2 linked regions of the Oreochromis niloticus genome follow. The protein of the gene in region 1 purifies or fractionates together with the protein of each later gene. This does not show direct contact. Links are inferred from orthologs where the notes say so. Each region holds a gene or a part of one and is shown in the gene's direction. Other genes may lie near its edges.

What was found.
Region 2: the proteins of phgdh (region 1) and epn1a purify together in Homo sapiens (affinity purification with mass spectrometry; 3 studies listed by BioGRID and IntAct, with this or other methods). This does not show direct contact. The link is inferred for Oreochromis niloticus from reciprocal best matches to the Homo sapiens genes PHGDH and EPN1.

Annotation. Positions count from the first base shown.
Region 1 is NC_031987.2:16,018,456-16,034,867, forward strand, and holds the start of phgdh (D-3-phosphoglycerate dehydrogenase), read left to right. Parts: upstream 1-10,124; 5' UTR 10,125-10,229; coding exon 10,230-10,367; intron 10,368-12,175; coding exon 12,176-12,327; intron 12,328-12,414; coding exon 12,415-12,480; intron 12,481-12,578; coding exon 12,579-12,633; intron 12,634-12,821; coding exon 12,822-12,920; intron 12,921-13,014; coding exon 13,015-13,147; intron 13,148-13,238; coding exon 13,239-13,387; intron 13,388-13,484; coding exon 13,485-13,637; intron 13,638-14,490; coding exon 14,491-14,629; intron 14,630-14,897; coding exon 14,898-15,025; intron 15,026-15,119; coding exon 15,120-15,342; intron 15,343-16,056; coding exon 16,057-16,211; 3' UTR 16,212-16,412. Other genes in the region: ppig (peptidyl-prolyl cis-trans isomerase G), read left to right, coding at 487-1,471; cfap210 (coiled-coil domain-containing protein 173), read right to left, coding at 4,442-4,795, 4,884-5,048, 5,204-5,378, 5,488-5,627, 5,699-5,855, 5,960-6,165, 6,251-6,424, 6,553-6,749 and 1 more. UniProt on the Homo sapiens protein: Catalyzes the reversible oxidation of 3-phospho-D-glycerate to 3-phosphonooxypyruvate, the first step of the phosphorylated L-serine biosynthesis pathway.
Region 2 is NC_031976.2:22,689,108-22,705,192, reverse strand, and holds the start of epn1a (epsin-1), read left to right. Parts: upstream 1-9,677; 5' UTR 9,678-9,785; intron 9,786-9,796; exon of another isoform or gene 9,797-10,006; intron 10,007-10,211; coding exon of another isoform or gene 10,212-10,289; exon of another isoform or gene 10,290-10,727; intron 10,728-10,733; 5' UTR 10,734-10,779; intron 10,780-14,360; 5' UTR 14,361-14,521; intron 14,522-14,768; 5' UTR 14,769-14,801; coding exon 14,802-14,870; intron 14,871-15,243; coding exon 15,244-15,402; intron 15,403-16,085. Other genes in the region: putative serine/threonine-protein kinase SBK3, read right to left, coding at 145-347, 755-902, 10,212-10,289. UniProt on the Homo sapiens protein: Binds to membranes enriched in phosphatidylinositol 4,5-bisphosphate (PtdIns(4,5)P2). Modifies membrane curvature and facilitates the formation of clathrin-coated invaginations. Regulates receptor-mediated endocytosis.

The DNA of each region.
Region 1 (16,412 bases):
AGGTCACATTCCTCAGAAATTTTGGTTCATATTGACATGACGGCATCACAGTTGCTGCAGATTTTTCAGCCGTACGCTCATGATGAACTTTCACCATGTCCCAAAAGTGAGATCTGGTGACTGTGGTGACTATTTGAGTACAGTGAACTCATGATTTGATGATTGAGCTTTGTGACATGGCATATTATTCTGTTGGAACAGCCATCAGAACATGGGGTACACTGTGCTCATAAAACGACAGGCATGGTTAGCAGTATTCAGGTGGGCTAAATACACTCAATTGCTGTTATGTGATTGACAGATTATATATTAGCAGTTAAACAGGTGTACCTAATAAAGTGGCAGGTGAGTGGATGTGCACTTGATTATATAACAAAACAACAGAAAAGGTACTTTAAAAAAAAAATTTGTCTGCCAAATTGATGTTTTGTCTAACTCCTAAATTTTATTATTGTTGTTATTCTTTTTCTACTATTTCTTTTACAGAGGTGACATGAATGAGGGTCAGGATGAGGCTGCTAAAGCACAGAAAAGAGAGAGACGGACTTCCAGTTCAAAGGCTGAACATACAACTGAGGGTAAAAAAGACAAGAAAACTCGATCTCATAGATCTAAAAGTAAGGAAGAGGATACTGTAGAGAAGGATGACAAGCATGATAAACACAAGGCAAAGAAAAAAGATAAATCCCATAGTCGCAGTAAAAGCCGAGAAAAGAAAAGGTCAAAAAGCAGAGAGAAGAGTCACAAGCACAGAAGTGATGAGAGGAGAGGTCGCTCAAGGAGCAAAGATAGAAATTTTCATGAAAAAGAAAAGGAGGCAGAATCTGATCACAGTAAAGACAGAAATAAGGGTCATGAGTCTGACAAAAAGCATAAAGAAGACACAAAAGGTAGAAATGGTGAGAGAACCAGGACAAAGTCCAGAAGTAAAGAGAGAGCTGCCAAAAAGGATGAGCGCAGATCAAGCAGCAGAAACAAAGACAGAGGTAGGACTTCAGCATCAAAAGAGAGAGAAGAAAAAAGAGAGAAGGACAGAGAGAGGGGCAGAGAGCGCAGCAGGAGTCGGGAAAGAAGACACAACAGTGAAAGGGAGAGTAAGAGACAAGGAACATCCCGGGATAAAGAACATCGAACAAGAAGCCCAGACAGAAGTAAGGCTAGGTACTCGCACAGAGGCAGGCGCTCAAGAAGCAGGAGCGGCAGGCGAGACCAAAGCAGGGATCGATCCTCTCATAGAAAAGTCAAAGACAGAGAGGCTGCCGGCCAGAGGAGGAGACGCAGTAGCAGCAGCTCTGAGAGTGACAGAGAAGAGAAAAAGAAGAGTCATAGGAGCCCAGATTCTAAAAGAAGAGACAAGTCCAAAGACCGAAGGAGCCCGGCCAGCCAAAGACCAGACAGTACGAAAGGCAAAGATAGAAATGATAGCAAGAGGAATCGGTCGGGGTCTAGCTCCAGCTCTGACAGCAACTAAACGCGCGATAATGTTCTTATTTTTTTTAAGGTGTACATGTAGTACACAGCGTCAGCATTCCATCCACAGTGGGGCACAATCACAGTCCTCATACAGTACAAAATAAACAGTTCTGCCAAAGATAATATGACTGTAAAAGGTTCCTCAAAGCTAATTACTTGACTGTTAAATAACTGTGGTATTCAGATAACAGAGACTGTAGAAAAGACCTTAAATAAAATGGCTCATACCTGCAGGTGCAAACTGTAGCATCCTCAACCTTTGGCTGAAGTTTGGACTTTATGGGGATTGTGAGTTTGTCCACCACTGAGTGTGTAACACAGTTAACTGGTAGCTGATGTTTTGGAGCCATTCTAGAAACAAAGGATTTGTAACTACAAAGTGTGTGTACTGCACTGGCAGGGCTGTAAACGTACCAGGTATTCTTCTAAATCTTACATTATTTAATCGCGTGAAGTCAGACTGGAGGCAGGTTTTCTTTTCATGTTGTTTTTCTTGTTGTTGTTTGTTTTGGTTTTTTCTGAATTTTACATCATGTGGTAAATTCTGTAATTCTGTCTTGACTTTAAATTTTCTCTGATTTCAGTTTGTTTAAAAAAAAAAAATTTAAAAAGAGGGGGGGGGAGATTTTGATGGTATCCTCCTCACTCAAGTTATTTTAATGTCAATCAGCCTGGAAGAAAACACTCATGTCTTGCATGCTCTTTTTTTGTCATTGTGTGTACACCCATGATGTTTCTTTTGTTTTTTTAACCATTTACTGTAATTCTGTTGAAAGAGAAAATGTTAATGCCAAGCTGTTAAGTATAAGATAAAAGCAGTTTGTTTCTGTTCCGTTTGGTTCAAACTGATTTTAAGAACTGCTGGAGTGTTTGATGAATTAAAAGGCTCTGTTTGCTTTTAAGTCGTTGTTTTTTGTTTTTATTCTGTAAATGCTGTCCCAGTCACATCAGCGTTAAGTGATACCGTTATTACGGAAAAGTGACACTGAATTATTACCTTTTAGTGAGTCAGTGGTTGTATCACTCTGTCATTGCAGTGGAAATCAGTTCCCAGAGGTTATTTTTGGTTTGGATGAGTCATCTTTCCATAATTTCAAATAACAAGTTCTGAGTGATGTGCTTTTGCTCCCCTCAAAGCAAGGGAGTATGAATTCTGTTTGTCTTAGTCTAGTGTCCAGTTTTCAAGATATAATTTTCAAATTTTGTGTGATTGTAGTTGCCATAACGGCTAAGCTGATGTAATTTTTATTTTTTTTTCCCTAAAATGTTTAATCTTCAACCTTCAATATATAGTAGACCTTGGGGGACATGAATACCAAGATTGGATAAGCACCCTTATTCTTAGCACCCAAGGTTAAAGTTGACCTTAAAAAACAAATTCTAGAAACCATATCAAGTACTATATAAAAGGGCATAGAGAGGGCTGTGTAACACACTTTTTGTATTATAATACAATGCCCCACAACGTCACATTGATACATTCATGCAGAGTGAAACTTCAGTATCTTAAAATCTCAAGTTTTATAGTTTATATAGCCAAAGTTTGAAGCAGAATTGGCTGAAATCATATGGGTAAAGATTATAAAATGCACTTTTAGTAAATAGTGCTTAAAGGTCAAAGTTCAAGATCATTCTAATTATGAAAAAGCTTAAGTTTCCATTGGATCATCTTCGAACTTCAGAGCAATATATTAGTTATTGGGGCACATAAGCATGTTCCTTGTTTGAGCTCTTTAAAACATTGTTGTTTAAGAAGAACATTATATGACTTCACAATAACCACAAAAAGATTAATGTACTACACTACATTTCTATATTAACCACGCTGAAGTCAGCATAAAGCAGCAACGTTTTAGTGTAGCCCTTTCCCTTCAGGGCAGTGGTCATGTGGCTCCCACAGTTTGTGTCATGGACCCCTAGTGGGCTATGAAAGTACTGCAAGTAGGGCACAAGAGGTTGAGTTACTACAGTGGTTCCCAAACTTTTTTTGCCAGGCCCCCCTTTTTTACAAGAAAAATGTTCGCGCCCTCCCCGGCCGCACAAACACATCCTCCAAACACACACACCCATATTTTGTTTACAAACTCCATTGCGATTTATTTTACACCTCAAACATTTAGTAAACAATTAAGCAAATACAAGTAAACGGCAATAAATTACAGGTAGTAATAAAATGCACTACTAACTCTTTTACGCTATGTCCACACCTACCACGGGTATTTTTGAAAACTCAGCTGTTTCTATGCGTTTGGGCTTTTCGTCAACACCTAAACGGCGTTGCGATTCACCGAAAACGGAGATTATTTAAAACTCCTTTTTTGCGTTTACGTGTGGACGAGGATTACAGAGTTCCTCACGCAACGTCAAAGGTATGTGCCTCTTTTCACGTCACGCTGTGCGCCACGTTATTGTTTACATGAGATGAATTGCAGAATGGCAGATAGAGACAAAATACTGTTAATCTGACTATCTTCAGGTTTTACACGCTTACATATACACACGCAGTTACTGTCCCTCCATTTAGAAAGGCAGAGGGGTGTAATTATTTTACGTGTAGTTGTTTTTTTTCCTGTGTAATAATATTCAACATTGCTATCAATACATTTTTCAAAAATGTCTCTCTGTGCAAAATGGGTTTAAACACATAAAGTTAAAGTTATATACTTGAATCTTCATTATATGAAGCTGGAGTCCTATGTTATTTTACATTTGATTTCCAAATCTGACAGGGACAAAATGCAGGTGACAGAACTGAAGATAGGGGCTTCCGGGATGTGGATGTGAGACCTAGTGTATCGGCTGGTTCAGGTGTAGGAGGGGTTTGAGAGTTTGTTCATGAAACCTGATAGCAAGCAGGTTAGGTTCACACAGCCTGATTCAGGAACAGTGTTTCCCTCATATCAGAGTTAACAAACTCACACTTACTGAACCTGCTTTCTGGAAGTGCACTCAAACTGGATGTAACCTATCACCATGTGAATCCAAGTCTTCTCTTGGCATCCTGAATATCTACAGCTTCGTGAAGCTTTTTGATGTTCTGGGTGGCCACTGAGACATATTTGGGCATCTGAGCTCCAGTGCGGTCCTGAACAAGGTAACTTGGCCTGACTCCACTAAAAACAGGACTGGACCCACCTCCGATCCCTTCCCTCGCAGCTTTACAAAGTGGAAACACGTTTCGCTGAGCCTCTGCTGCAGCGTTGATGATTTGCTGTGAATACTGCTGGAAGCGGTTTTCCTCTTCAGCGATGAGTTCTGCATTCTTCGCTTCAAACTCATGTTCCTGTTCTCTCAGCTGCTGAAGTCTGGCACTTTTTCCAGCCTGTATTTGCAAGGCAAAGGCAAAAGAGTTTCAGTGAAGAAGGTGCAAAGTTTCTGATCAAAACTTATTACGTTTTGGCCGACATTACCATTTGCACAGCATTGAAGTCTTGCACCTCTCTTTCTTCTTCTCTGATTTTCTTAACCTTTCGTTGCTGCTTCTCAGTAAATATTCTGTCAGCCTCTTTTTTGGCCTGCAGTGCTTCTTGGGCCTTCTTCCTCTCTATTTTGTCCTTCTCCTCCTTCTCTTGTCTCTGGTAAAACAGTTTGCGTTACAGACGTGATGAAATTTTGTGAGCAACAATATGGATTTCTCTACACAGAAAAGACACATTGGAGGATATATATATAGAGGAAACACACTGGATGTTTCATGCTCGGTTTGAGATACCATTAGCTCTCTGTGTACACTGATGGACTTCAACATCTCAGCTTTCTTCTCATCCTCCTCCAGTTGCTGCTGCGCCTGTTTCGCCTCCCTCTCTGCGACAGCCTTTGCGATCTTCTGCTCCTCGCTGACAGCTTGCTCCTGCTGTGTGACCGTCAGTCTGTTTATGATCCTTTCTTTACGTGTCTGGGCCTCTCTATAGAAGAAAATGCATACGAGTATCCATTATATTTAAGAAGATTTAGCACTGGAGATACTTTGATCCAGAGCTATTTATTGATATATACTGTTTTACTCAGTCTTACCTAAGCAGCTCTTTTTCTTTTTCTTTGCGTAACTTCATGATTTTTTGCTTAGTAGAGAGAAACAGTTTCCTTTGCTCCTCTTCAGCCTCCTGTTTCTGAGCATCTGTGGCTCTTATGAGGTCTCTGTTGGTGATATGCTCCTGTAAAATGCATTAAATAAACTTAATGTCCAGTGAAATAAATACTAGATAAGATTCAAATAAGAGCCTACCTGGTGAGCTTGCATGAGGCTTCTTTTCTGATTTGCTTGTCTTTCTGCCTCCATCCTTCGCTCCAGCTGATGCAGCACTTGGAGACGCTGGATTTCGTCTCCATCCTTCTTGCTCTCCAGCTTTTGTCGCTCTCTCAGCAGCTCATTTTCCTTTATTCTGAGGAAAAGTAATCATATAATTGTCATTGTCCTGCGGTTGTGGTGTTTTGGGGATTTTAAATTTTTAACACATACAGCTGGAGCCTGATTGTTAGGTCTTACTGGTTTCTTAGGTCTTGTGCAGCAACCTGTCTCACAAGCTTCCTCTGCAGTGCCTTCTCCTGCTCCTGTTTCAAGGCTTCATCCTCTCTAGTCTGTACCATATGCAGAAATGCTTTGTCCACATCTATACTGGCACTCTTTCTTCTTTGTTTAAGCTCAATCTGAGCATCCCTCTCCTTCAGCACCTCTGTCAGCAGGAGTGCACTCTGTGGAGGAAGTAGTAATCATTTGTTAGGTGAAATTGTGCAGTTTCATACTCAAGTGGCATAATAATGCATAAGCGAGACTAACATGTAGTCCTTTGACTCTGTCGGTTTGACAGTAGAGCTGAGTCTTGGCTTTTTCAATAATCTCCTTCCGCCTCTGCTCCTGGTATTTTGCTTCTTCTAAGTCAGCCAGTCTCATTTGCTCCTCCTCAATTTCCTTTCGAATCTTCTTTTCCTGCAGCCTTTTCAGCCTTTGTCCCTGTGACAAGACATATGGATGCAGTGTGTTTTTGCCTTTGTGTTCCAGCTCTTTTCAACCTAGCAAGTGCACATGACTTTAATAGTATAAATTTAATCTTAGGAAATATCTCTCAACATAGAACTTACATGGAGGGTATCAGGCCAAAGTTTCACCACCTCCTGTGACTGCAGGTGTAGGTTCTCTCGCTGTTTAGCTGCCTCTCTTATTCTCTTCTCTTCTTTATTAACCCCACTCAGTTCATCTTGAATCCTCAGCCATTCAGCCTTACTTAAGACAGTAACATGTCGGAGGTCTGGTGGCTGCATAGCTCTAATGGCTTCATCTGCTGACACATTAATAAAGAAATTACCATTGGAGCATGTGCTACAGCAACCACTTATCACACCAAGGTTCCTACTAGGTCCCTATAAGATATTATACTCATATAGAGAAGAAACCACAACATCCCACTTGTCAATTAACTGACTTTCATAGCTGTACTTGTTGGTTGAAGTGAAGTGAAGCAGGATCTTGGAAAGACTTTAAAATCAAAAGCACTTATAGGCTAATAGCCTCGACAAACAAATAGCTTAAATAAATGAGCATTACATTCGGCTCCATCTAGAGTTTTTGGTTCAAATAATGGCTTAAAACGGCTCTTCTGGTAGCAAAGGTTAACTATATAACTAGACTGAATAAACTTTGAAATGTTTGTTTGGCTCTCACCGTTTTTACTAGCTCCTCTTCGACGGCCGTACAGAACCACCGCTGCCATTCCTATCGGATGGAGTGGTTACTATTATAGAAAATAATGCCAAATACAAAAAACAAAGTAAAGGTTTTATTTTATTTTATTTTATTTTATTTTATTATAGTTGTAAGCTGACGTTCGTCAAACTGTCCGCTCTACGTAGCCTGCGTTTGTTGCGTGGTATCCAGGCAATGACGGAACCAATCAGAATCATCCTCTAAATACTGATAGGCAGAGCCCTCGGAGGAACAGCGGGGCTCAGGAAGTGATTAGCCTGGAGTATGTGAACACAGAGAGAAAGCTCTGTTTTCTCAAATTAGTAGGCAATAAATCCATTGATCTACAATAGTTTTTTATACCGCAGTCAAGTGTATATATACACACTTGTATACACTCTGAATTCATTATGTAATAAACTAGGGAAAATGAATGGCGTGTCACACTTTATTTTGTGCTCTTTCCTGAGTTATACACAATTTCTGCATCGGGATGCATGTTCAGTTATCTCACTGACACCAAGAGGAGAAAAGTGGTTGTCTTAACTTAGAAAGAACAATCTTGTCTATGGTTTAAAACAACATCAAATATGTAACTTAATTTTTTCTAAGCACCACATTTGTACTTTTATTTTTTTCTTACAAACATAGACCAGAACGCTGAGAAGTATAATGTTTGGTTTATTAAAAATAACAAGCAGGTAAAGTTTTTCTCATTGCAGAGTCTTCAGGCTGAGTCCTCCTGTGAGTCACGTGCTGGGAGTTAGTAGAACTGAGCCATGGTGCTTTTACTACTCTGATGTGTCAAAATATGCCCACTGATAAAGTTTGTAGTTATGAAAAAAATGTTAAAAGAGTAACTGAAAGTAACGGATGAATGGTTCATAAAACTTTTGTTTACAGTATACTAATTAAAGATGATGGGAAATCTGATGACAAAGATGGAGTCTCTGATTTGGACAATGATTTTGGTTTGTAATAGGACTCCTGGCAATTTCAGATTAAGTCATTTTGTTGTCTTTACTCTTGTTTAAGATCTTGATCTATGAAATCCATTGTAAAATCTGGTCCTTTAGGCATTTGCAGCTGTGTGACCATGACAGATGTGCTAAATTTACTGAGCCAGCAGTGGAACATGGCCTGTCATGTGCTGCCTAATGAGTCAGGTGATGAACAGTGTCTGTTGAATTAAGACTCGCCTGACCTAACTTACTGTTAAATGGGGACAGTTATGGACCAATTTGATCTTTAGGTGATCACATCTCTCAGATCCTTTACTTTGCTACTTATGTTTAAGCTGTTATAGTTTATACTCAGTTATTTGATAGAGTTTTGAAGGTTATTCTGAACTGTGTTTCATGCAAGGCTATGCTGGTAAACTCTGAGAAACAAAATATGGATCTAGAAATAAGCATAATCAATACCTCATGATTAGAATTTGTTTTCATTTTGTAGCAGAGTTTAACTGAACGTCGGAAATAAGAATAATATTTTTTTTCTTGTACAGCGCACAATTCATATATTATACCTGGTATAACTAAAAACTATGCATCGTTTAGAGTCTCGAAGTAGGGACTGGTGTATGGATAAGCTACACTGAGTAATATCATCTAATAGTTGCTATACTGCCTGTATTACATTTAATAAGCCATTGTTGCTCTATTGAACTTACAATATTTTACCTTGTTATATATATAAAACTATCCCATCATATAAAATAAAACCTAGCAATCAGTTAAAGAAAATCTAAAGTTGACAAATAAAAGTATGTACAAAATAAAACACCCTATCCAAATGAAATCCAAGTAAATAGACATTTTTAAATGAGGATTTTATTTATCGAGGGAAAAAGGTTTACAAGCCTGGCCCTATAGGAAAAGGCATAATGAATTAACTGTGATAAACCATTGATTTTGGAAAGTTAAGCTTCATTAGCTAATACTAAGCCATATTGCTGCCAGACTTGTTGAATCCAGAAATCACTTAAATAGAACCTGTCTGACAATGTGAAGAAGGCTAAAAGCTCTCAAAATCTAAAGAAACAACAAAGCGCTTTACACTACATTCAGTCATCCACCCATTCACACACATATTCACACACTGGTGATGGTAAGCTACATTGTAGCCACAGCTGCCCTGGGGCGCACTGACACTGGCGCCACCGGGCCCTCTGACCACCATAAACCTAATGCAGCATTTCATTTAAAAACAAAACATCACGTCAGCATGGTGGTGGTAGTGTGATAGCCTGTGGCGGCTTTGCTGTATTTAATAGAACCACGAATTCTGCTGCGAATTTTGCCACATGGTTATATCCAGCAGGACAGTGATATAAAGCACACCAGCAAGTCCACCACTGAATGTCCCCCCAAAAATAAAAGGAAGGTTTTGAAATGGCAAAATCAAAATCCGGACTCAAATCTGTGATTGAGATGCTTTGACTTGACCTTAAACTGGCTATTCACACCAAACGTCTCCCACCGTGGCTCAGTTAAAGCATTTCTGCAAAGAAGAGTGGGCCAGAATTCCTCCATGTGAAATGTGAAGGACTCATTGCCAGTTATCACAAAAGCTTTATTGCAGTTCTTGCTGCCAGGAGTGGCACAAGTAGATATCAGCTTTAGGAATAGCTTTTTTCACTTAATAATTTGAATTATGGTTTCAAAAATGCTTTCTGTATTTACATGTATATGTGACAAATATGCAAAATAATAAATAACGCTGATCCAGTTTAACAGGAGGCTGTTGCTAACCTTGAACCAGCACTACGTGTATTCTTTCTAACGAAAAGCCAGTATTAGCCTCAGTTAGAGTACTTCTGCACTTTTATTTTGAATGCAGGCCATTTCCAGGATTTCCAGTATGCATTGTTCGGATTTGACTTGAGAGGTGCAGGAGAGGCGGATCCACGTAGAAAGGGGGCGTCTTAAATCCGAGACAACCATTCAAAACCGGCAGAAGGAAAAAAAAAAAAAAAAAAAAAGCACTCCCCGATCCATCCATCCATCTCTTCTCCCAGATCACTCAGCACCCACCGGTGGTCCACCAGCGAGCGACCCGCAGAGAAAATACCAAGATGGCCCCGATCTCCATCAAAACCGTGCTGATCAGTGAAAGTGTAGACCCTCGCTGCAAGGCGATTCTGGAGGAAAATGGCATCCGAGTCACGGAGAAGCAGAACATGACTAAGGATGAATTAATCGCGAAGATAAAGGTAGTAATGGCACTCTGCGTTATATTGCGTAATTTCTTCACATGCACCCGCTGTCGGGGTTTTTTTTTCTTCCTACAAAGCAGGTTTCTATAAAGTTTAGTCTAAAGGCGCTTTCGCTCTAATCGGTGCGCATATGACGTTGCACGCCTAAAAAAGTTTTTGCGGACTAGCAGCTGGCATTTTTTATTCCGTAACACAATTCAACCTGACACGTGTAATTAAATGATCCCGACAGCCAGTTAAAAACTGATTTATTCGGTTAGTACCGCCCATTGTGAAGCTGATGCAACTCATTCGTGGTGTTGTGACTATTGCCCACAGTCCGACCTCCTATCTGCTGCAAGTGCATCGGGCGGCCATTGATTCCACTTCTACCCCCAACCCAAACTATTCCATTAATCCCACATTTTCTCCACAGAGCCAATGTGTGTATGTCTGAGAATATTTGAACAAATTCGATTTGTCAGATTAGAAATGATGAGCTGTTGGAGCTGAATGGACTGTACAGGGCTGGCTCTAAAACTTCTGGTGCCCTAAATGACATAAGGCCCCTGCAGGGGTGTCTTAACATTATTGTACACCCTGGGGCCGTGGGCCTTTTGGAGCCCCCTACAGTCCAAAATGTATTTATTTTTAAAAATTTATTTTAGCCTATTCTCAATAAACATTTCAATGTTGAATGACCATTGGATGGCTGTATTTTCTCAGCATCTAGTCTTAAATTGGAAAAAAAAAAAAAAGCTCTGAAATGAAAATGGGCTGGCTGTATTGCTTAAATAATGCCTGTACATCCTTGTTGGGCTTTCTAGCAAGAAAAAGCTTATGTTCAAGAATTGTTTAATTATTTATTATACTTTTGTCCTCTAGAATAAAATAAGTAAAGAATATACACCACAAGGGCAACTCAAAGTGTTCATCTCTCACACTGAGCTAACTGATCTAATAACTGGGTGCAGTACAGGCTAATAAATCACCATGCAACAAATGGGATAGAATTTACATGAAGATCAACATAAGTGGCTTAAAAGTGTTCTTTCTAGTTAATAAGAATGACATCTGGTAATAGTAGTGTGTGTACACGAACCAGATGTTGTTTGGCACTCTGCTGACAACTATTTAGCAACGTTATCAGTTATCAGTCAGATGTCATTTTGCAGCCTGATCAGTTTTGACTGTTGCAGTTTCAACCATTTTTTTTTTTTTATTTCTTTAAGATCTTTGTTTTTTGTTTTGTTTTTTTGTTTTTAGCTTTTTAGTCTGTATTTAGAGAGGAAAGTGGAAAGAAGATAGGGAAATTGGGGAGCAGGGGAAAGACACACAGTGAATGGTCTTGGGGCAGATTCAAACCCAGAACTCGGCACCTGAAACAACACAACACAGCCTTCTCCAAGCTTTGACCAACAAAGTCTGTGTCATGTCATGACATGTCATGGCACATGACATGACACAGACAGAGAGATAAAATCACATTTTATTGCATGGTTAACAGGTGTCCCCCTGACAATGGGAAACTATAGAAGTCCATGTTACATTGTAACAGGGGGAAAAAAACACTATAACCTGTCTTGTAACACTTCTGGTTGGACAGAGGTAAATCATTTGGCATAAAACAGGCCAAAGATCAGTGTTAGAAATGAGGAATTAATGAGAATTATTTAGTAAGTATATCATATCCTGGCATAGGATTTTTGACTGGTTCACAGTTTTTATGCTGCTCAAAATAACTGACACTCATTGACTCTGTGTGAACTATTGGGTGGATTTAAAACAGAAAATTAACATCAGCTCTGCTTTTCTCTGAATCTCAGGACTATGATGGCCTCGTGGTTAGATCTGCAACCAAGGTAACAGCTGATGTTATCAGTGCTGCTAATAATCTCAAAATTATTGGAAGAGCTGGGACCGGTGTGGACAACGTAGATGTTCCTGCCGCCACCAAAAAGGGCATTATTGTCATGAAGTAAGTCTCCACTTTAAATGCAGATTTGGTTCACTGTGCAGTTCCAGTATACCATTAACTTTACTTTATAACTGTGTTTTTCTGCAGCACGCCGAGTGGCAACACGATCAGTGCTGCTGAGCTGACATGTGCTCTGCTCATGAGCCTCTCAAGGCAAGACGAGTCATGTCATTTCTGAACAATTGCCGAGAAGCTCTGTGGTTCTAATTGAAGTGCAGTAATATTCCATTATTACGTTGATCTGTTTTCAGAAATGTGCCACAAGCAGCGATGTCAATGAAGCAAGGGAAATGGGATCGCAAGAAGGTAAAAGCATTTTCGCTTGCTCTCCAGTGTGCTGTTTGAACGGCTGTTTGCACTGGGAGCATCAAGCCATTACTGTTGCATGGTTGGCTCCATTGTCCACTCAGTTGTGAATAATCAGATGGGACACTTGGATCTGTGTACTTTCAGAGTTTTGGAGGTGGGTCATTGTTTTGCTTCCGATTTTTCAGTTCATGGGTGCAGAGCTGTACGGCAAAGTGCTCGGAATAGTCGGACTTGGAAGAATAGGAAAGGAGGTCGCCTCGAGGATGCAGTCATTTGGCATGAAGGTCAGCACACAATTGCACAATATCTGCTCACAGTTACTGTGATATTTAAAATAAACAGGCATAAAAAGATGACAGGTTGTTTTCTCCTTAACAGACTATTGGCTATGATCCAATCACTCCTCCAGAGGTGTCAGCCACCTGGGGGGTGGAACAGATGTCTCTGGAGCAGCTCTGGCCCCAGTGTGATTACATCACTGTCCACACTCCCCTGTTGCCCTCTACTGTTGGTGAGCTAAACACCAATCATATGTCGGTCGATTATAACGGTGGTGCAAAGTCCATCAGCAAGATGTGGAATTTCTTTTTGATGTGCCCAAGGTCTCCTTAACGATGAAAGCTTTGCCAAGTGCAAGAAAGGCGTGAAGGTCGTGAACTGTGCAAGAGGGGGCATCATCGATGAGGAGGCTCTGCTCAGAGCCTTGGAGTCTGGACAGTGTGGAGGAGCAGGCCTTGACGTCTTTGTGGAGGTTTTTCTTTTTGTCAAATTGCTTGATTGATTTTTTTTATTAATTAAAGAGAGGTTGTTGCTTAAATTTCACATTGTCTTTATGTTTTTGGCTACAGGAGCCACCTAAGAACCACTCACTGGTGGAGCATCCCAACGTCATCAGCTGCCCTCACCTAGGAGCCAGTACGAAGGAGGCTCAGGCTCGCTGTGGGGAGGACATTGCCCTGCAGATCGTGGACATGGTGAAGGGAAAGAACCTGGTTGGAGCAGTAAGTCCTACATGCTCTTCTTAATACTGTTTTTAAAAAATAACTCCTCAGACCAGAGTTATAAATTTGCTAAAGGGCTACTGAAGTGATTGTTTGGCGGATTTGTGTAAAATGAATCGCTTTGGAAGCCTAAATATTCTCAAGCTTCCAAAGCATCACTATCAACAAATCAGACTTCATACCCACAGTTATCTGTACAGGAAGTAGTGGACTGTTTTACAGACTGTCGTGCAGCAGGTGAGAAGAAAACAGGAACCTAATGGATATCACAGCAGTGGTTATTAGCTTTCTTTGTTAAGCCAGGCTTTCTGCTTCGGGTTCTGTCCACACTTGCCATAGAGTGGGAATTTGATGCATCATTTCACTTTTCATCTGCACAAAATGGACAGAATAAGTCAAGTATTATCAGATAAGCAGATGATTATAAAGCTGTGAAGAATATAAAAAATAAAAATGCACCACTGTTTCTGAAAATAAGACAAGTGAGCAATGCTCGCAGAAAACCGTCAGTCTCAGGAATTTGTAAGTTAAATTTTTCTTTATTTCTTTTACTCCATGTGCCCTCAGTGCTGCAGTTTATTTTGAATATGACAGCTGCACGTTGGACATTGGAGCTTTAAAACTGATATATTTTATTGTTTGTTTTGTACAAAAAGCATAAAGCAAACAGTGGTGATACATACAAAGAAACGACTGAGCAGGAAACAGTATCAGCTGATAATCCAGTTTGATCACATTTGGAGGGTATTGGTAAAAAAAAAAAAAAACCCTAAAATAAGTAATAACCTTTTTTAAAAAAAAAGAAAAAAAAAAAAGATTTTGTAACAGATTTTAAACTGTTCTCCTTGTGCAGGTAAATGCTCAGGTCTTGGCTAGCACGTTCTCCCAGGAGTCGCAGCAACTGATTAAACTCGGAGAAGCCGTTGGATCTGTTCTTCAGTCTTTCAGCGCGTCTAAGAAACCATTCAGTCATGTTCAAATCACTACTCAAGGTAACATTTCTGGTTTAACCAGTTTCCTGTAACCAAGCGACCTCAAGGAGAGTTCATCTCATAGGAAGGAAAAATACTAGGAAGCAGTTTTTCCTCCCTCTGCTGGTGTCACGGTGAAATTGTCAAATCAGTCGTGTGGGTTTATAAGCTATTATAGGAAAATCATTTCTGTGTAGTTTCTTTTGTCTTTTTTTTTTTCTAAAACAGTTTTACTTTAAAATATTTTGCCTGTAATTAAAAGCTTTTTGCACTCTGCTCTACAAACCAGGGGATTGCATGAAGTCCTCCACTGGTTACATGACTTCAGCTGTGCTGGTGGGTTTACTCAATCATGAATCAGGATGTTGCCCGAACCTCATCAACGCGCTGAGCTTAGCTAAGGAAACTGGAATCACGGTACACCTTCAATTTATTCAGGCAAATAGAACATGAGAAAAACAAGTGGAATATATGTCAAATAAATCTTTTTCATTTATCTCAACTTCTTCAGGTTAACCAGGCCCACTGTGCATCTGCCGGGGCCGCTGAAGGCGTGTGTAAGGTGGAGATTGCGGCCACTGGCTGCAGCTATAAAGCCAGCGGTTCAGTTCAAGGTGGAGTGCCTGTCCTCCTGGAGCTGTGCAACAGCGTGTTCAGACAGCCCATCTCTCTCACTGGAAATCTGCTCTTCTTTAAGGCCCCTGCGAATCCTCAACTCCTGTCCTCACTGGCTGGTAAGAAAATGTAGACGTCAAAACTATAATCTGTGATTATAAAAGATTTCACTGTACACAAATGGCCTCCACAGTCATCACATCTCATTGCAGTAGAGCAGCTTTGGGACATGGTGGACGCATAGATGTGCTGCCAACAAATCTGTAGCGACTGTGCAATTCTATCATATCAATATGGGTTTGTTTCAGCACTTGTTTGAATCCATGCAACAAAGTATTAAGAGAGAGAAAAAGCAGGTCCAAACCAGTAGTGCAATAGAGTCGCCACCTGCTGGACATTAGAAAGAATGCACAAACAGTCCCTCATTGTATATTCAAATGTATATTCAACATTCACAATCAGTAACTGAGTTTCTTTTCAGTCTTTTACAAATTAATTTAATTTAACTTCCTTTAGTTCCATCAGTTTTGGAGGCTAAGGCAGTAACCTTCAACACAATGTAAAGAGTTAGAATTGTTTCTCACTTCAGAACAATTAAATGGAAAGTTTAGGTTGGTGGTAGATAGTTTGCATGTCTGTTAAACTGTCTCTCTGAAAACAAAGCATGCATTCTTGTTGTTTTTCCTCAACTGCTTCTTTGCGCACATTTGTTTTTGAGTTTGAATTTAGATGAAAGCTGGCCCTGAGTTATGAGAACTAAATTGTAACCTTCACCAATGTTTCTTTTCTTTCCATTCACACCTATTTTCTCTCTTCAATTGTTCTTTGTTTAGGAGTGTTGGCCACAGAGGGAGTGGAGATTGAGTCTTTCAGTGCTCCTGCAGACCGCTCTGGGGATCTGTGGTATTGTGTGGGGGTGTCCTCTCTCTTGAGAGATCTCAGTGCCTTGAACTCCGTGGTGAAGGATGCAGCGCAGCTCGGCTTTTAAATGACAGCGCAAAGCACTTACAGAGGCACTGAATAGCATTCAGGATGTGAGATCTGTAACATTTTCAGGAGCGTCTAATATAAATGATCCGGTCTTTGTGTTTACAGCTAACAACTCGTTCAGAAGTTGCAGTTTAAAACCTGCATTTTATAACATTCCAGTGTTTAGATGTTTTTATTAACTTGTAGAAGTAGAAATTAA
Region 2 (16,085 bases), on another chromosome or scaffold:
AAAATGACTGGAATATTTGGATTCTGGGGTTTATGAAGCAAAAACATATCAGCTTGTATTAAGTTTTGCTGCTGTATATGTTTTCTGTTGTATTAGTAGGGCGTACATATAATTTCTTTCATGCCACACGTCAGCCAAACTGACCTCGGATACTATAACACTGTAGAGGTCACCGTATAGACCGGCTTGCTGGGCGAACACATAGTAGGATGGCGTGGAGAAGAAGATGCCCAGGGCTCGTGTCAGAGACGGATGGGTGCAGTAAGATAGGGACAGATTGTATTCACGCAGGAAAGAGGTGAGCGAGGTAGACTGACGAGGGAAGAACTTCAGAGCCATAGGAGTTCCTGATGAGAGTAAACCAAGATGAGATCTAATTAGCTTTAAAGTTCTCTTATAAACAATCTCGCCACCTGTGGCATGTGAGTGTTGTCCATCACAGACACTGTGAACAAATATAACTTCCCCTTTGGGGAGACCATGTTTCACGGCTACACCCCAGTTGCAGCAACTTTATCCGAGAGAATGTAAGAAAGCTCTTCATTAGAGCAACAGAATACTGTCAAAAGAAGGATCTGTTCTCACGTTACTGCAGAGCTGACCCCACAAAAAACATGTAGTTTCTTTACAAGAGAGAAAACTGAGTCTGAGGTGCTCAGTGACACTTTTGCAAATACTTCAGATAGGCAGCGAGTTTAAACGTGGAAAAATGTTTAGTTAAAGAAGCTCCCGCTGAACTGAGTCTTGCACTGACCTCTCTTTCTGTGCACAGCCAGCATGACTTTCCCATAGGATCCTTCTCCCAGGAGCTTCACCATCCGAAAGTGTTCAGAAACTTTCAGATTGGGCATGGATTGCGCCGACAGGAAACATAGCTCGTCGAGTTCCTGAGCTGCTGCAGCCTGGGAACATATGAAAGCAGCACACACATAAATCCAAATTGATGAAATAAGAGCTGCAGCTTGAGCGGCATGTGTTGATGTTATTGATAGATAACTTCAGAGAATGAAGTCTGAATCTAAGGGGGTGCACGTTCAGATGTGTTCCCTGAACCTGGGGCATGACAAGACCTCAAGACTCTAAACTACACACATTACATTAGCTGCAATAGTAAAAATCGTTTTTCTCATTCTATGCAAGTTTATTGGCTTACTATTTAAGTTTAAGATGTTTGTGCCATCCCAGCAAACATTTGGCAGAAAATACTGGAACATAATGGGGTACATAGACACTCCAGACATCAGGATGTCTTATCAGGATGATCAGAACATTTGGTGATTTAGTTTTTCATCCCTATTGTTACTCGTTGCTTCATGAAGTCTCGCCCATGATGATTTACTTTGAAGTGGATCCCCCACCACGTAGCCCATAACACCAGGGCGGGTGTGAACAACTAAGACAAGAGCTTAACGCAAAAGATAAAGAGACTCCAGAAGGATAACATATTTTTATTCTTGACCTTCCACATGTTGCATAACTGTGATGTCCCTGCAAACACCTAGTAGTATTTGCTGTGCTGGTACCAACAATATTTCTGGTTTGAATTAATATAATAAGCCTGATTGCTGTTACAGAAAAACATTTCCAATCACTTACAAACTTACAATCATTCCAAACGGTTGGAAAATTGATTAATTTCAGCTATGAGTCATTTTTAAGGAAACTGATAGACTTGATGTGCAGCCAATACTGAAAACAACAAACTGAAGGTTTTGACCAGCCTGAGAGCATTACGTTGTGCAGATCAGCTGTATTTTAAACAGACTAATGATGGCCCGTTTGAGGATTGATACTGCACAGATTAATGCTGCAGGTGCAACAACAGACTCCGCTCTGCAGCAACTAAAACATTTTATATCACAAAGAGGATCAAACGTGACATTTCAGACAGCTTCCACATGCATGAAAGCAAAATTTTGAAATGTTTTTAAGCACATTTCCATGAGTTTAAGCCTCAGTGGGATTCCGTTCCCGGAGCTGTTAACACGAGTTGAAGTTATCGCATTGTCAGATTCTTTTGCTGCTCCTCATTCCACGCATGCTCAAATGAAAATGACTATCATTTATTCTATCTAGGTCACAGTTTAGCTGAGTGATTTAGTGACTCCTACACATTAATCACACAGAAGCATCTAAGACACTGGTTGCGTGCTGATATTTGCCATGTCCTAAGACAGTAAGGTGATTATTAATTAAAACCCTAATAGTTAATGGCTTTTGGCACAAAGCAGTAAGTGTTATAATGTTTTATGTAACTCATCACTAACTAATTTGAAGTCCATTAGAAGTGTCAAGCAGTGGGAGTTGAAACACCACTTAACGATACAGTCTGAAGCCAAAGAGAAATGCTGTAGCAAAAAGTCATCAGTGTATTCATGCAGCGTCTGCATGCCATCCCATCAGCTAGAGGCAAATCATTAAGGCATTACAGAAAACCTCCAAACTGTCTGCACATGCACGTTATAACTGTTTTCTTGATAGTAGTTTTTCCTGCACTCACATGTTGACATTATGAGTTTGATTAAAGTCACAAATATGTCTCTGAAAACTAGATGTAAAGGTTTGGATGGACAGGAATAATGTGCAATACTTACTGTCATTTTCTGCTCAGTTGGATGATCTCTACTCAGTTTTCTCTGCTCTTTTCACCATCTAATCAAAGACTCTTTGAAAACTTGACAGGCTCCTGTTAGGGAGCTTCTGTTCAGGGCTGCAGATCTACTGAATGTTCGCAGCTAGACTGATAATCAAAGTGGATATTTTTGCCTTTGCTCCCTTGTTCCATGCAGTAGCACAGCTGACTTTATAAAGGAGGCTTATAGATGTTTACTGGAGACCAGGATATTGGCTGTGTGTTTCTCCCCATGAGACACATGCTTAACTCCCTCCCTCTCTTTTCCTACTCTTGTGCCAAGACTCCCGCTCTCTCCGCCTCTGGCCTGTTATGCTGGCAAATACGCACGAACCAGCTACAAGGCATTTCAAACCTCCTACTCCCCGTGCCCCCCTCTCTACTGCACAGCACTGCTAATATCCCACCTCTTCCAATCTGTCAGTCAGCCTGACCACATTAACCCATCGCTCTCCTGCCTCCCCTCTCCTCAGCTGTCATTCACCTTGTACCCCCTCGTTTTCCTTCCATGTCTCTTTCTCACCCTCTCAGCCTGTCTGAGTCAGTGAATTCCCCACACAGTATAGGATTCCTCTTTTAATCAACAGGTATGCTGGAATGATTGGAATAGGCCAACAAGCTGTATCCATGATCCCTGAATCTTACTGGGATTACAGCATATAGTTACAGAGCATTTTATTGTTAAATATTGATGTTCTCTCTTCCTTATCCGTGATATCTGCCACTTTCTGATGGAGGCACTTAAAATCGATCAAAATCAAAATGTACTAAAATATAATCATCACATCAATAAATGGAGGTTTTCATCAGTCATCATAATTCCTCTTCTTGTCACACAACACTATCTGACTTACTCTCTTTTCAAGCACATATTAATCATCAGACTCATATTAATAACATCTGAAATCTTAGTTTAAAAGAAAGACATAAAACTTAATTCTATACTTGATCTAAATGCCAGCTTTATTTCCTACTTAACACCAGCTGTAGGTCAGGCCTTTCCTCCCATAGCTTCAACACCCTCCTCCTCTTTCTGTCTGCTCAGATAGATTTCCCCTGGTACTACATACTATAGACATATTCTTGCCACTGGATTGTTGGCTGTGCATTATGTAACACAAACACTGGCTGCTATCACAACAGGCCAGTCCCTTCTCAGGTTACTAACACCACTGCTTGTGCTCAGCTGGTCATCACCGACGGGCTGCATGTTTGTGCCTGTACCACAAGGCTCTTTGGCCTCTGCTGTGACAACCAACTTCCCCACTCCACCAACAAAACTCTTACTGCTGTCATTTTGATGCCAAGAGGCAGTCGGTTTCATTCACAAATACTGTGTGTAAAGCATGCATGTAAAAAATGCAAACAGATTGCCCACTTGGTTGCTAATGATGTTTCACACAAACTTTCACCTTTGCTTTACTGGCACATTACATAATATACAGTAGATGGATATATATACACAATGTGGACCCCATTTGTCCAGGTTCCATGTTCTTCGAGGGAATGGTCTCTGCTTATTATACCTGAACCCTTGACCCCTGCAGTGCTGGAGTTATGCTCTGGTTGGGATCTTTTCTGGCACGGGTTAGTCTTCTTATCTCCCAGAGGAATGGGTCAGTGCAAATTAGTACAAATAGTCCAGCGTCACCTTCATCCTGCGATGACACATTTCCATGCTAATGAAAGCAGTCTCTTTCAGGATGTCACTGCCCTTATCCACTGGGGTTTGATAAGTATGATAATGATGGTAATCACATCATCCTAACCAAATCATTTATATCAGGCTTCAGAAACAGACATGCACAGTCACCTCACCAAACAGCCTGACTTTCTTGTGCATTTTGAAATAAAAGAATCCTGTTACAACTTGGTATGTTTGTGTTTCCTTATTATTTTATTTTTTCATCTATGGGTAGGACATTTTGTCCTTATTTTCTGTTTCACTGATGAAAGTTCATATTAAACATGGCTAAATGTTTTTTAAAAAAAACAAAAAAAAAACAGGTCAGTGTGTGTTAAAGTGATCTATAAGAGCCAAAAGTTGCTCTAAAGGCTTAGGTTATGACATTTTTTTTCTATTGCTGTGATGTCACAGGGATGTCTTAATATGGGCATGGGACTGTTGTGGCAGCCAGACAAAATAAGATTAGTTTAACAACGAGCTAAAGCTGCTTGTTTCAGCCAGCGGATGAAAATGAGGTGTTTCACCAAGACTGAGTAGAACCATGCAAAACCATGCAAAGCTACTCTGATACAGTCTAAACATAGACAAAATAAATAAAACTGAAAGTAGGCAAACACAACTGATTATATCCATCACACAGTTCTTGTTGATGATAATGTAAAAAATATTACTAGGCGTTCCACTTATGAGACAAATGGAGCAATATTTGATGGGTTTATCTCAGTAACACGACCTTCTCACAACAAGAAGGTCCTGTGTTTGAGCCTCGAGCCTCCAGCTAACAGAGACAGGTTGTTTTATCTGGAGTTTGCATGTTCTCCCTCTGTACGTTTCTCCCACAGTCCAAAGACATGTTAGCAAGCATGCCAAGTTAACTGATGATTCTAAATTGGCCATAGATGTCAATGTGAGTGTGAATGGTTGTGTCTCTCTTTCTCTGTCTCTAACCTCGCTCTAGTTCACAATAAAATGAAAGTGCCTAAAAAATGGATTGCTTCAGTTAGTCTTGAGTTGATGCAGAATCTTTCAGTCAGTTTGTCTTGGGGCAAAGTAATAGTTAGGTACTGAGCAGCCGATAAGCAAAGTATTACAGGTTCAGTTTTCAAAGAAACTGATTTTCCATCAACTCACTCATTGGCAAAACAGGAATGAATAAATAAATACATAAATAAATGGAAGCAACTGCATTTACTGAATAGCCGGGAGCTCAAAAGAGGCCAACAAAACAAACTTATACAGACTAATACAAAAGGCAATTTCAGCATGATGATAAATTATTAATTCAAGTGATTGTGACAAAAGGACTTGATACGTACACAATGTTCCAGGGTTTAGCCTACAAACAAATACCTACTCAGAAAAAAATGTGTCTTTAGTAATACATAAATAACTAGACATAAAATGAACAGAAACTGATCTGAGAGTTCATTTGTCAGACAAGAATCCACAGTGATGAATGTTATTTACATCCAGAAAGTGACAGCACAGGCTTTCAAAAGAGCATCTCGTGAGAGCTTCGGTGTTAGTTTGTTTGATTCCTCCTCTTCAAAAGCCCCTCCTCAGGCTGAGTCCAGTTCTTTCTTTCAAAACAAAGTAACGATTCTCTCCTGACACGGCTTGGGGGAGTGGGCACAGAGGAAATACTAAATAAAGTTTCAGCGTGACATAATAGTGGAACGACACCTGTCAGAATAATTTATACTTGTTATAATCACCGGCATTTTGCTTGTCCTTATAAGATTAGTGTTTCCAAAGCAGAGTAACATTACAAGTTTGCTTGAGTCACGCTGCAATGTTTTCTTCAATCCCCTCCTCCCCAGAGAGAAGGGAAAGATAAAGGGATAAAGAGATGAAGGATTAAAGGGGAACTTGTAACACACATGCATGCCAGCTGTTGTTCTGATCCAGGAGGCTTGCGGGGTATTTTTCATGGTCCCAGGGAAGGCAAAGCTGGTCTGGTGTCACACCAGATAGTTCAAGGATGCCTCTCTGTGGACGGTGAGGGTCATTGCATTTTTGGGGAGAAATTGTTGCTGCGTGTTAAATCTTAAGATTTACCACAGATTTACCACCAAACCTATGGTGTGACTTTCAGTTTTCATTCATTAAGAAGTGAAATACTTCCTGCTCAAATATGTCTCAATGTTTTCCGTATCATCAGCGTGCGTATGGGTCTTCACACTCTGACAAGAAGGCTTGTATTCAGTTAAACAACATCAAAACAGAGTCTTAGTAATTTTACTTAAATGATGCAATGTAAAATAAATAAATAAATAATTTGTTCCTTTCCTGATTTTTTTTCTGCATATTTTTTTAATACACCATAAAATCGAATTAGTTTCCAGAACTTAAAAAAATTATGCAAAAAAAAAAAAAAAGTAGTAAAGCATACTTAAGATAACTAAGTTAGGCCAACTTATTCATTGTGGGTACACAGTACTAAAAATAACTTGATTTTTCTGAGTAAGCAATACTAAATGTTTATATTTTTAACAAAACTTACTGGTAACTTAAACTGAGTTCTAACAAGCTCTGAGTTCAGCCTACTTAGTATTTTTAATTAAGCAGAATATTAGACTTTACAGTGTACTTACATGTTTCAAATTGTCAAACAAATTTTAATATTAGATAACGATACCCTGAACAAATAGAAAATGCATTTTTTAAATGATGGTTTCATTTATTAAGAGAAAAAAAGGCTATGCAAATCTATCTGCCCCATGTGAAAAAAATAATTGCCCCCTAAAGCTAAGGGTTGGGCCAGCATTGGCAAGAACTGCAATCAGTCATAACTGGTAATAAGTCTTTCACATCCCTGTAATTTATCTTTTCAGAATTGTTTTAATTCACACACAGTGGAGCGGTTTCAAGCATGAACAAGCTTTTTATGGTCAGGTCAAAGCATCTCGATGTGATTTAAATCTGGATTCTGTCTAGGCCCCTCTAAAACCTTCATTTTCTTGTTTCAGAGTTAGGTTTGCTGGTGTGTTTTGGATCCTTGTCCTGCTGCATAACCCAATTTCACTTTAAGTTTCAGGGTATAAATTGATGGCCGGATGTTCTCTTTCAGGATTTTCTGGTAGAGAGTAGAATTCATGGTTCCATCCATCAATTATGGCACGTAGTCCAGGTCCTGAAGCAGCAAAGCAGCCCCAAACCATCACATTAAAACTAACATGTTTGAATGCTGGTATGATGTTCTTTTATGAAATGCTGTGTTAGTTTTACTTCTTTTATGACATCTTGAATGAGTCGTTAATGTGCTCTTGGAGTAATTTTAGCGTATTTCACTTTGTCAGACAGGAACTATTTAAGTGATTTCTCGGATCAACAGGTTGGCAATAATCAGTCCCGGAGACAGCTAAAGAAACTGAACTGTGCTTTCTAAAAAAATGTGCTTCACATTAATTAATAAGGGGGCAGTTCCTTTACTCAGGAGGCGCCAGCTAGGTTTGGATTCCACTAATAAATGAAATCATCATTTAAAAACTGCATTTTGTGTTTCCTTGGGTATTCTTCGTCTAATATTAAACTTTCTATCACAATCAGGGCTGAACTGGGACAAAAAATCGGCCCGGGCATTTTGACTAGAGACTGGCCCACCAGGTATTATAGGAAAAGCCATAAAGCCTTTGAATGAAAACAAACGCTGTTGTGACAGTGATGTGCACTGTCTTGTTGGTATATGTATGATTTCTGTACATTTTACATCAGATAAAAACTTTGGTGGTAAGATTCAGATAATTATTTATTAAAAGCGAGACATTTTAAATGAGAATAAGAAACAAAAGTATTTCTTTGTGCCCCCCTTTCCCTGTTAATGCCCTACCTGGCCCCCTGGCAAAACCTGCTAGACCCGCCCCTGCACAGTTACCAGCTGTCAGCTACTTAGAAAAGGATCCTGGTGTTATTTGTTCATAACTTCCCTTCAACTCATTCATGTCACCTAAAAGGTAAACCTGTTTCTCCATCACCTGTTCAGCTCTGATGATTCAGTAAGGACATTACCTGGTTTCAGCTTCATGTTTCCCTCTCACCAGAATATCCAAACCGATATCATAACCAGCAGCTTTTACGGCTGTGGCTCCCGCAAACCTCAGCTGATACTAGAAATTAATATTAAATAAATTCTAACAACAGCTGATCAAGCTTAAACCTGCTGCTGTTGTTTAGCGCAACATCCGCCGGTTTCCTCTTTCTGGCGCAAAGTGGGACATAAACAAACAGACGGGACTTGGTCAGAAAAGCCGATCAGCTGATCATTGATCAGTTTCATGATTGAAGTAGCAACAGGAGAGGGAGGGGAGAGAATGAGAGAAGAAGAAACAGCTGACAGCATAAAGACACAGAATAACTGCAGCTTTGTGTCTTTTTTTCATTCTAGCTGAAGTCCGGGACAAACTGTTCCTTTTCAGCTTATTACGACACGTGTAATATTTTCTCTGAATACCAGACGATTCTGTTTTTTACAGGACGGTTGGCAACTCTACTAACTAACCGTATGAATAAAATAAAGTTCACTATCAGTAACATCATAGCACCCACCCAGCTGTATAGAAACTCTGTAAAAAGTCAGCACAATGAAAATAAACTATACCTAAACTTGGTTTATATCTGACCCAGATAGACTGCAGATCATTATTACCTGAAGTTCAGTTCACCTGACACTCGGACCGGCGGCCACCTCGGGTCTCTCCTCCTCCTGCCTCCCCTTTCCCTCATTTACCTGCTGGCTTCTATGGAAGCTCCGCCATAGCCACCACCAAACAACTAAGTTATTTTTACATTTTACACATTGGTCACACCACCTTTCATTGTTTATACCGTTACAAAAAAACAAAAGACAAAAAAAAGAAAAAAAAAACAAACATAAAAAACCATTGGCCCATAAAAACGAAAAATCACCATCAGCCCACTGGGCAAATGCCCGGTATGCCCGATGGCCAGTCCAGCTATGATCACAGTTTAAAAATATAAAATCAGGGGCAAGTTCTCCATTTTATTGCCATTAGTGAAACCAGTTCCTCATTTAGGATTTTTAGAAATGAACCCAGAAAGACACCTTCTATATTTTCAAACCGTTTTCTTGTCTATTAGCCACCCAAAGTCTTTTTTTTTAAATCTCTGAGAAGTCTGGAGAACGTGGAACAAACGTGCGAAAACAAAAATAATGACAAAAAGAGGATGTGAGTTCTTCCCTTTGACACAAAATGAATATTAAAAAGGAAATTTATCTCAGAACTTTTAAAAACATACCCCCTGTCTATCAGTGAATGAATTTAAACGGTAATAAACAATCATTTCGATATCTCTTTATTTGAGACTTTCTTTTCGTCTCAATTAATAATTCATGAGTCTCCTACTACCATCACAGGAAAACAAAGCTACAGGGGGTGCGGTCTTTCCTGTAGGCGAGAACGGAAGCGGAAATTCGGCCATCTCCTCGTACATTCAAGCTACAGCAGGGTCAGTAGACATTTATTTTAGATATTTATTGTGCCGGGTTGTCAGCCTTTTTTGACTCTTGAATGCGTGTATTCAGTAGTGTCCCAAAGCAGGACGTGAAGCTGGAGCTCGTACGGTCTGTCAGTCATGTAGCGAACTAGCAACAGCTAACAGGCTAGCTGGCTAATGTGTCCGAGCAGCAACAGCAGCAAAGTGATTTCTTTTATCAGTCAAAGTGGCAGGTAACCTTCACCTTTTTATCGAGTTTGGGATAATTCCGCGCTAGGACAGGAACGACTCATTCTGTTTAGTTCCCCCGCTTTTTTTTTTATACCTAACTAAATCCCTCCGTGCACCTGTTTGTACTACACCCAGACTTTGTGATAGCAAAGTGATCGCAAACAGTTTCGATTAGCTTAGCTGAGAATAAGAGAGTTTGGTGCTCACCTTTAGTTGATAAATTAAGCCTTTGGTACATAAAAATGTTCGTTTTAAGACCTGTGTGTTGCATTTTACAGCGGACATTAGCGTTTGCTAGCAGCTAGAAATACGTTAGATGACAGTTTGGTTGCTAACATATCAGTTAGTTAGCCTGCTATCTTAATAGGTGTGACAGGGAGCTCAGCATCTGTCTGGCAGGGTCGTTAACGTTATCTGGGTGGGGGTCACATCTTCGGGAGGCTGTGCAGTGTTAGCTGGATATGAGTGATAGGAAGAATAAATCAGTTAACACTTATGCCTGCTTTTCGCCTTTTGTAGTTGGCTTCAACCATACAATCCATCTTTCATATAGAGCAGCTTCCTGTGACGTGACTTATGAGTAAATAAGCGCTACAGCGTTTATAGCTTGTTCTGTATGTGATCTAAGTGAGACATCTGTGTATTTTTAGTGCTTAAGGCTGATAAACTGTGTACTGTAGTGCTTCTGAGATACTTACTGAAACTTTGTGGGGGATTTTTTCCCCTCAGTGTGGCTTCAGACTGACGATATCTGACAAGAGGAGATATATAAAAGGTATGTTATGTCACTTATCATGGTTATCACGGATTAGCTGGCGTGTCTGAACTTTGGCACTGGGCTTCAGGAGTCTCTGAACTGACTTTTGCAATGGTTGCTTTCTGTTCAGTTATGCAACATGCTCTCATGTTTATCTGACCTACAAATCTGAACCCCTTATTAGCTGTCAGGCTGATTTAAAACACTTAATGATGTTTGGAACGGTTATGTTTTTCGTATAGTATCCGAACTAAAGGCTTTCATTTTGTGCCATTTAAAATGTGTAATCCAGTGGTTTTCACACAGCTGACATGGTGTGAACAACTGTTTTAGCTGTGTTGCCAGATGAAAGCATTTTTGAAAGTGACACTAGAGCCAAACCATCCTAAATCATCCAATTTTTAAGAACATTTTCTGCTCAACCTTGTCTGATGTGCCTCTCTTTTTCGTACATTTTCACTGCATTTTTAATATTATTAGTATATTTTAAACTTAAACCGAGTCATCTAGTGCAGTAGGTCTTGAAAATTAAGAACGTGCATGTATTTAACACAATTTTCTCAGTTGAAACTGGAAATTGGATTAATAATTAACTAAGAATTTCATGTCAAAACAATATTCTGCACGTTTCATTTTGTGGTATTTTAAAATAAAATTATATATCACTCAGAAATTATTAAGTCGTCTTTTGAAATGTAATTTTCTTTCTTTTTCACAAACATGGGAATTTACAAGATAGCTTTCATTTTTCTCCATATTTTAGTTACTCTGTATCTGTCCGAAATTACAGATCCTGATTCATCATTTCGTATAGTAAATTTCTGTTATTTATCTTAAATATTTACTGAAGTGTGCGGACTCAAACATGGCCTCAAATTTCAAAGTGTAAGCTAGAGAAGTATTTCATATATTAATGTAAATTCAAACTTTGGACCATATAATTTTTAGGGATATCTGAGATGTTCGAGCAGAAGGCCCACTTTGTTTTGTGATGGAATGACCCAGCAGTTTTCAAACTTTAAACCACTGTTTATATCTGCAGAAACTAGCCTTTATCTCAGCTAAAATGGCGTGAATGACTATTTTAGCTGTTGTGTCAGATGAAAGCACTTTTAAGTGTGACACCTACAATTTTTTTTTGGTCTCCAGTAAACTCCGCAAACATGCAACTTGCCTGGATCCCCTTATCAGACACTTGTACAAAGTCCTACAAACTGACTATGATTCACATTTAGTTCTTTACGATAGACTAAGTTTCTCTCAGGTTTCCAGGTTTGTCTTGCTTGTGTGGCACAGCGTTCACATTTGTTAAAACCTTACAGAAAATAAAAGCCTATTAACATCCCAGTCCAGCTGAAGCCATAAAAAAAGCGTATTTTTGTGGCTTATTTCCTCCTGACAGTTCTCGATCTTAAAGTGGTTGTGTGTGGTTTTCTTTACACAAGAAAGTGATCAGTTTTACTACTGCACAAATTGGATCCTTCTCACTGTCAATCAGGTCATTTCATGTCAACTAATGTAGTACATCTGAATTTCATTGGTTACTTATTATGCAGTTACAGTAATATGTATATGTGTGTGTGTGTGTGTATATATATATATATATATATATCTATCTATCTATCTATCTATCTATCTATATATATATATATATATATATATATATATATATATATATATATATACATATATATATCTATCTCAATCAATCGTTTTTTTTAATCCAGCCACACTTTTTGGGAACCACTGGTTTAATCGTTGCCAACAGGTTAATTTATTACTGCAAGTTACAACTTATTTTAATAAGTAACAAGCAGTCAGGGCTGAAATCTTATTTTTCTTTTGTTCTTTAACTAATAAATCTCCAGTTTGTAACCAGCATGCTGTTTGTAGAAGTCAGTTTGTTTACTTTATTGGTTCAGTATGAAGAAGGATCTGCTTGAATCTGGAGAATCGGAAAGAGCGGCAATGTTTCTTGCCAGTGCTGGTTTGCCAACTGGGGGAAGATCCACATATAGTGGGTGGGGAAAAATTGATATTTATTATATTATAAAGGAAAGACCATGTACTTCCTCTCTTTATTTTTGAAAGTTACCAGTACAGAGAATTCCTTAGCATCAACCAGTAAGATGATCAGTGTTTTCCAGTTGTTTTCCAGAGTGATTGTTTTTGTAGTTTTGCCTCTGTTCACAACAGAAAAGTGTGGCTAGCTCCTTCAATGGTTCTGTCGTGTCCAAATACTTATGGACCTGACAATATTTTTGTGGCACAAGCTGAGGTAGCATCTGTTACGCAAGAAAATGCAGATTGTGGCAGTGAGAGCTTGCATCTGGTCAGCAACAGTGTTTCAACCTGATGCGTGAGCAATCAGATACTAAAAAAAGCTCAGCAGGTAGTGAGAGATGTGCTGCTGATCCACAAAAATCATTCTGCGTGCCTTTTTTCTTTCTCCATCAGCAAACAGGATAAGTCCATGGTTTTTTTAGACCAAATTCAGGAACTGTCAGTGGTGTTGCAAAACAGAAACTATACGTTATTGCACCATAAAGTTTCCCACACTTGTTGGGTATCAATCTCTTCTAATTAAAATACTCATTTAAAATCTGCCTCAAGTTTATAGTTTGTTTTAACCATGTGTACCATTTTCTTGACATCCATACGTGGATCTGTCCCTGATTATTATCAACAGTGGTTGATGATATGTTGTTTTTAATAATCTGTTATTCTGCTCTTGAGGCCTGCAAATATGGGTTCAAGATTAAAGTTTTTGGCAGTGTAATGATTAGAGTACCTGGAGTTAAGTAAACTGAACCCTTCTAAAATATTTATCTTAGTGCTACTCTTGTATAGTTTTACCCTGGTGTGAAGCTGGAAGTTGCCTAGATGTTTAGTTGTGAAAACTAAATTATTGACTTTGTTAAGGAATCAAGGTTGAGAAGCCAAATTGTTTGCCATCTTTTTCTGTAAAAACTCATCCAGTTAAATTCACTGCTACAGTTTAGGTCTCTGTCAGGAATTTATTTTGTTTTCATTCACACTTTCTTGCTCTTTTTATTGATTGATTTTATGTTTTGCATAGATGCACAGATTATAACAGCTTTTTTGGGGGGGGGGCAGCTAAAAGATGTAATTTAACATTGTCAGTAAACTGTATTTATCAGTTTGGCCTGGGGTAAATTTTCAAAGAATATGTAAAGAAGAGAAAACAGACTTTAAAACTCACTGAATAATTATTTATAGTGTAGATTGTAATATTACTCTTCACTTGACAAGTAAATAAAAAGACAAAAAATATCTCCATTGGCTTTCAGTCAGATGGTCATATTTAAAATGACTACATTCCTATTTTTAAACTGTTCACTCTAATAAGAGATAAAGCTTTTAACTGATAAGTTGTATCTCTGTGAAGCATGTGTGGATCAGCAACAGATCATGTGACATTTGTTGCTGAATATCTCCTTTGTCCTTTTGTTTTTTAAAATTTTTATTAATGGTTACTTTAGATTTAGTCACAGATTCAGTTTCAGCCTGCTTGTTGTGCTGTAGCAGAAGTATCCAAGTCACAATGCATTTACATTAATCTCAATCCTGCTCCCTAGTTTTCATCCCCCTTAGTCCGCGGTTTTGGGACCCAATGTTGCCACGGGAAGAAACAGACAAACCGTGACAAAGCACTCCATGAATGAGTTGCAGCCAAGATAGAGGAACGGCAATATAGCAAGAGGAGAGACCCTTTTCCTGCATCAGTCTTGTGTAACAGGTGCGCACGATGTTGTCTTTATTTCTCGTTTCATGCTGATTTGGGTTACCAGTGCCATCTTCCACTCACTGATTGTAGACTCTTGTATACGCACACTTCCTCACGAGTATTTCAAGTGTTCATCGTCTTTCTTGCTGGATGTTTTATTGGTTGTAAGTCTTGTTGATTTGTGTGCCCTGGAAATAAACATGTTATTTGTATTGTATTAACTATACTTTATATTTCTTCTTGCCCATCTGCTGTTCAGCTTTCAACAGAGCTCGGTGGCCAGACCGTTGCCATGTCGACCTCATCGCTACGGCGACAAGTAAAGAACATCGTCCACAACTATTCAGAGGCTGAAATCAAGGTTGTATCTCTTGGCTTCTTAGCTGGCTTTTCTTCTTCTGTTTCTTTTTCTGCACACATTCCCATTTTGTATCTAGGACTTAAGTGTAACAAATGCATCTCTGCCACACAGATGAGATTATGCGGCTTCTGATAATCTAATATTTCTTTGGAGAACCTCCTCACTCTTCCCCTTGTTATGTAGAGAATGAGCTAATCTAATCATATCGTACCCATTCATTATTCTCTGCAGCTTGTGATCTGATTGAATTTATTTTGTTACTCAGAACACTGTGCACCAAGATGTCACAAAGTAATGTCTGAAATAATTCCCATCTCAGTCGGTTTGAGTGGAATAATTAATAGTTAACCCTCTTGTGTGTTTTTGTGTCCAGGTAAGGGAGGCGACGTCTAATGACCCATGGGGCCCCAGCAGTTCCCTTATGTCAGAGATCGCCGATCTTACCTACAATGTCGTGGCCTTCTCGGAAATCATGAGTATGGTGTGGAAGCGCCTCAATGACCATGGCAAGAATTGGAGACATGTGTACAAGGTTTGTGAGTGCAGAAGTAAAGTTGGGAATAACAATATAGATTAAACTCAAGACAGTAAACACCATGGGAAAACTCCAAAACACAGCATATTATTGTCATTATTTCATCCAAAGGAAATAAACCATGCTACTTTAATTGTAGGTATTGAAAAGTCAGTTGTTTAGAACAGTTCATCAGATATCTGCTTTAATTAAAAGGTGAACCTGGGATCCTGGAGTGTGCAAGCTGTTAAATTTTTCTGCATATTTCTGTCTTTTTGCTTAACTGAGAGACCCAGAGGATCCAAATGTTCCTTCAAGCATTATTTTCAAACTAGTCTCATGGCATTTACACACACAGAGCACCACTGTGACTATTGGTCGACGTAGCATTTATCCCACGCCTCCTTCATTTGGTGATTGGGTGCCTTCCTAAAAGCTGACAATGGCGAACACAGTCTTTTTGAAATCTGTAAAGATATGGCACAACTTGTACAGACCTTTGGAATGAAAGTGGCTCAGTTATAGCAAAAATCATAATCGCATTGTATTCAATAGTAAGATTACAATTAACTTTTGGTTATGGAAAAATAGACTGACTAAACGTAAAAGAAAAATGATGTCTTTTATGCAAGTGTATTTCCATAAACTTTAATTCAACTGAAAAACTAAATAAACAAATAAATATGAACCAGACTAAATCA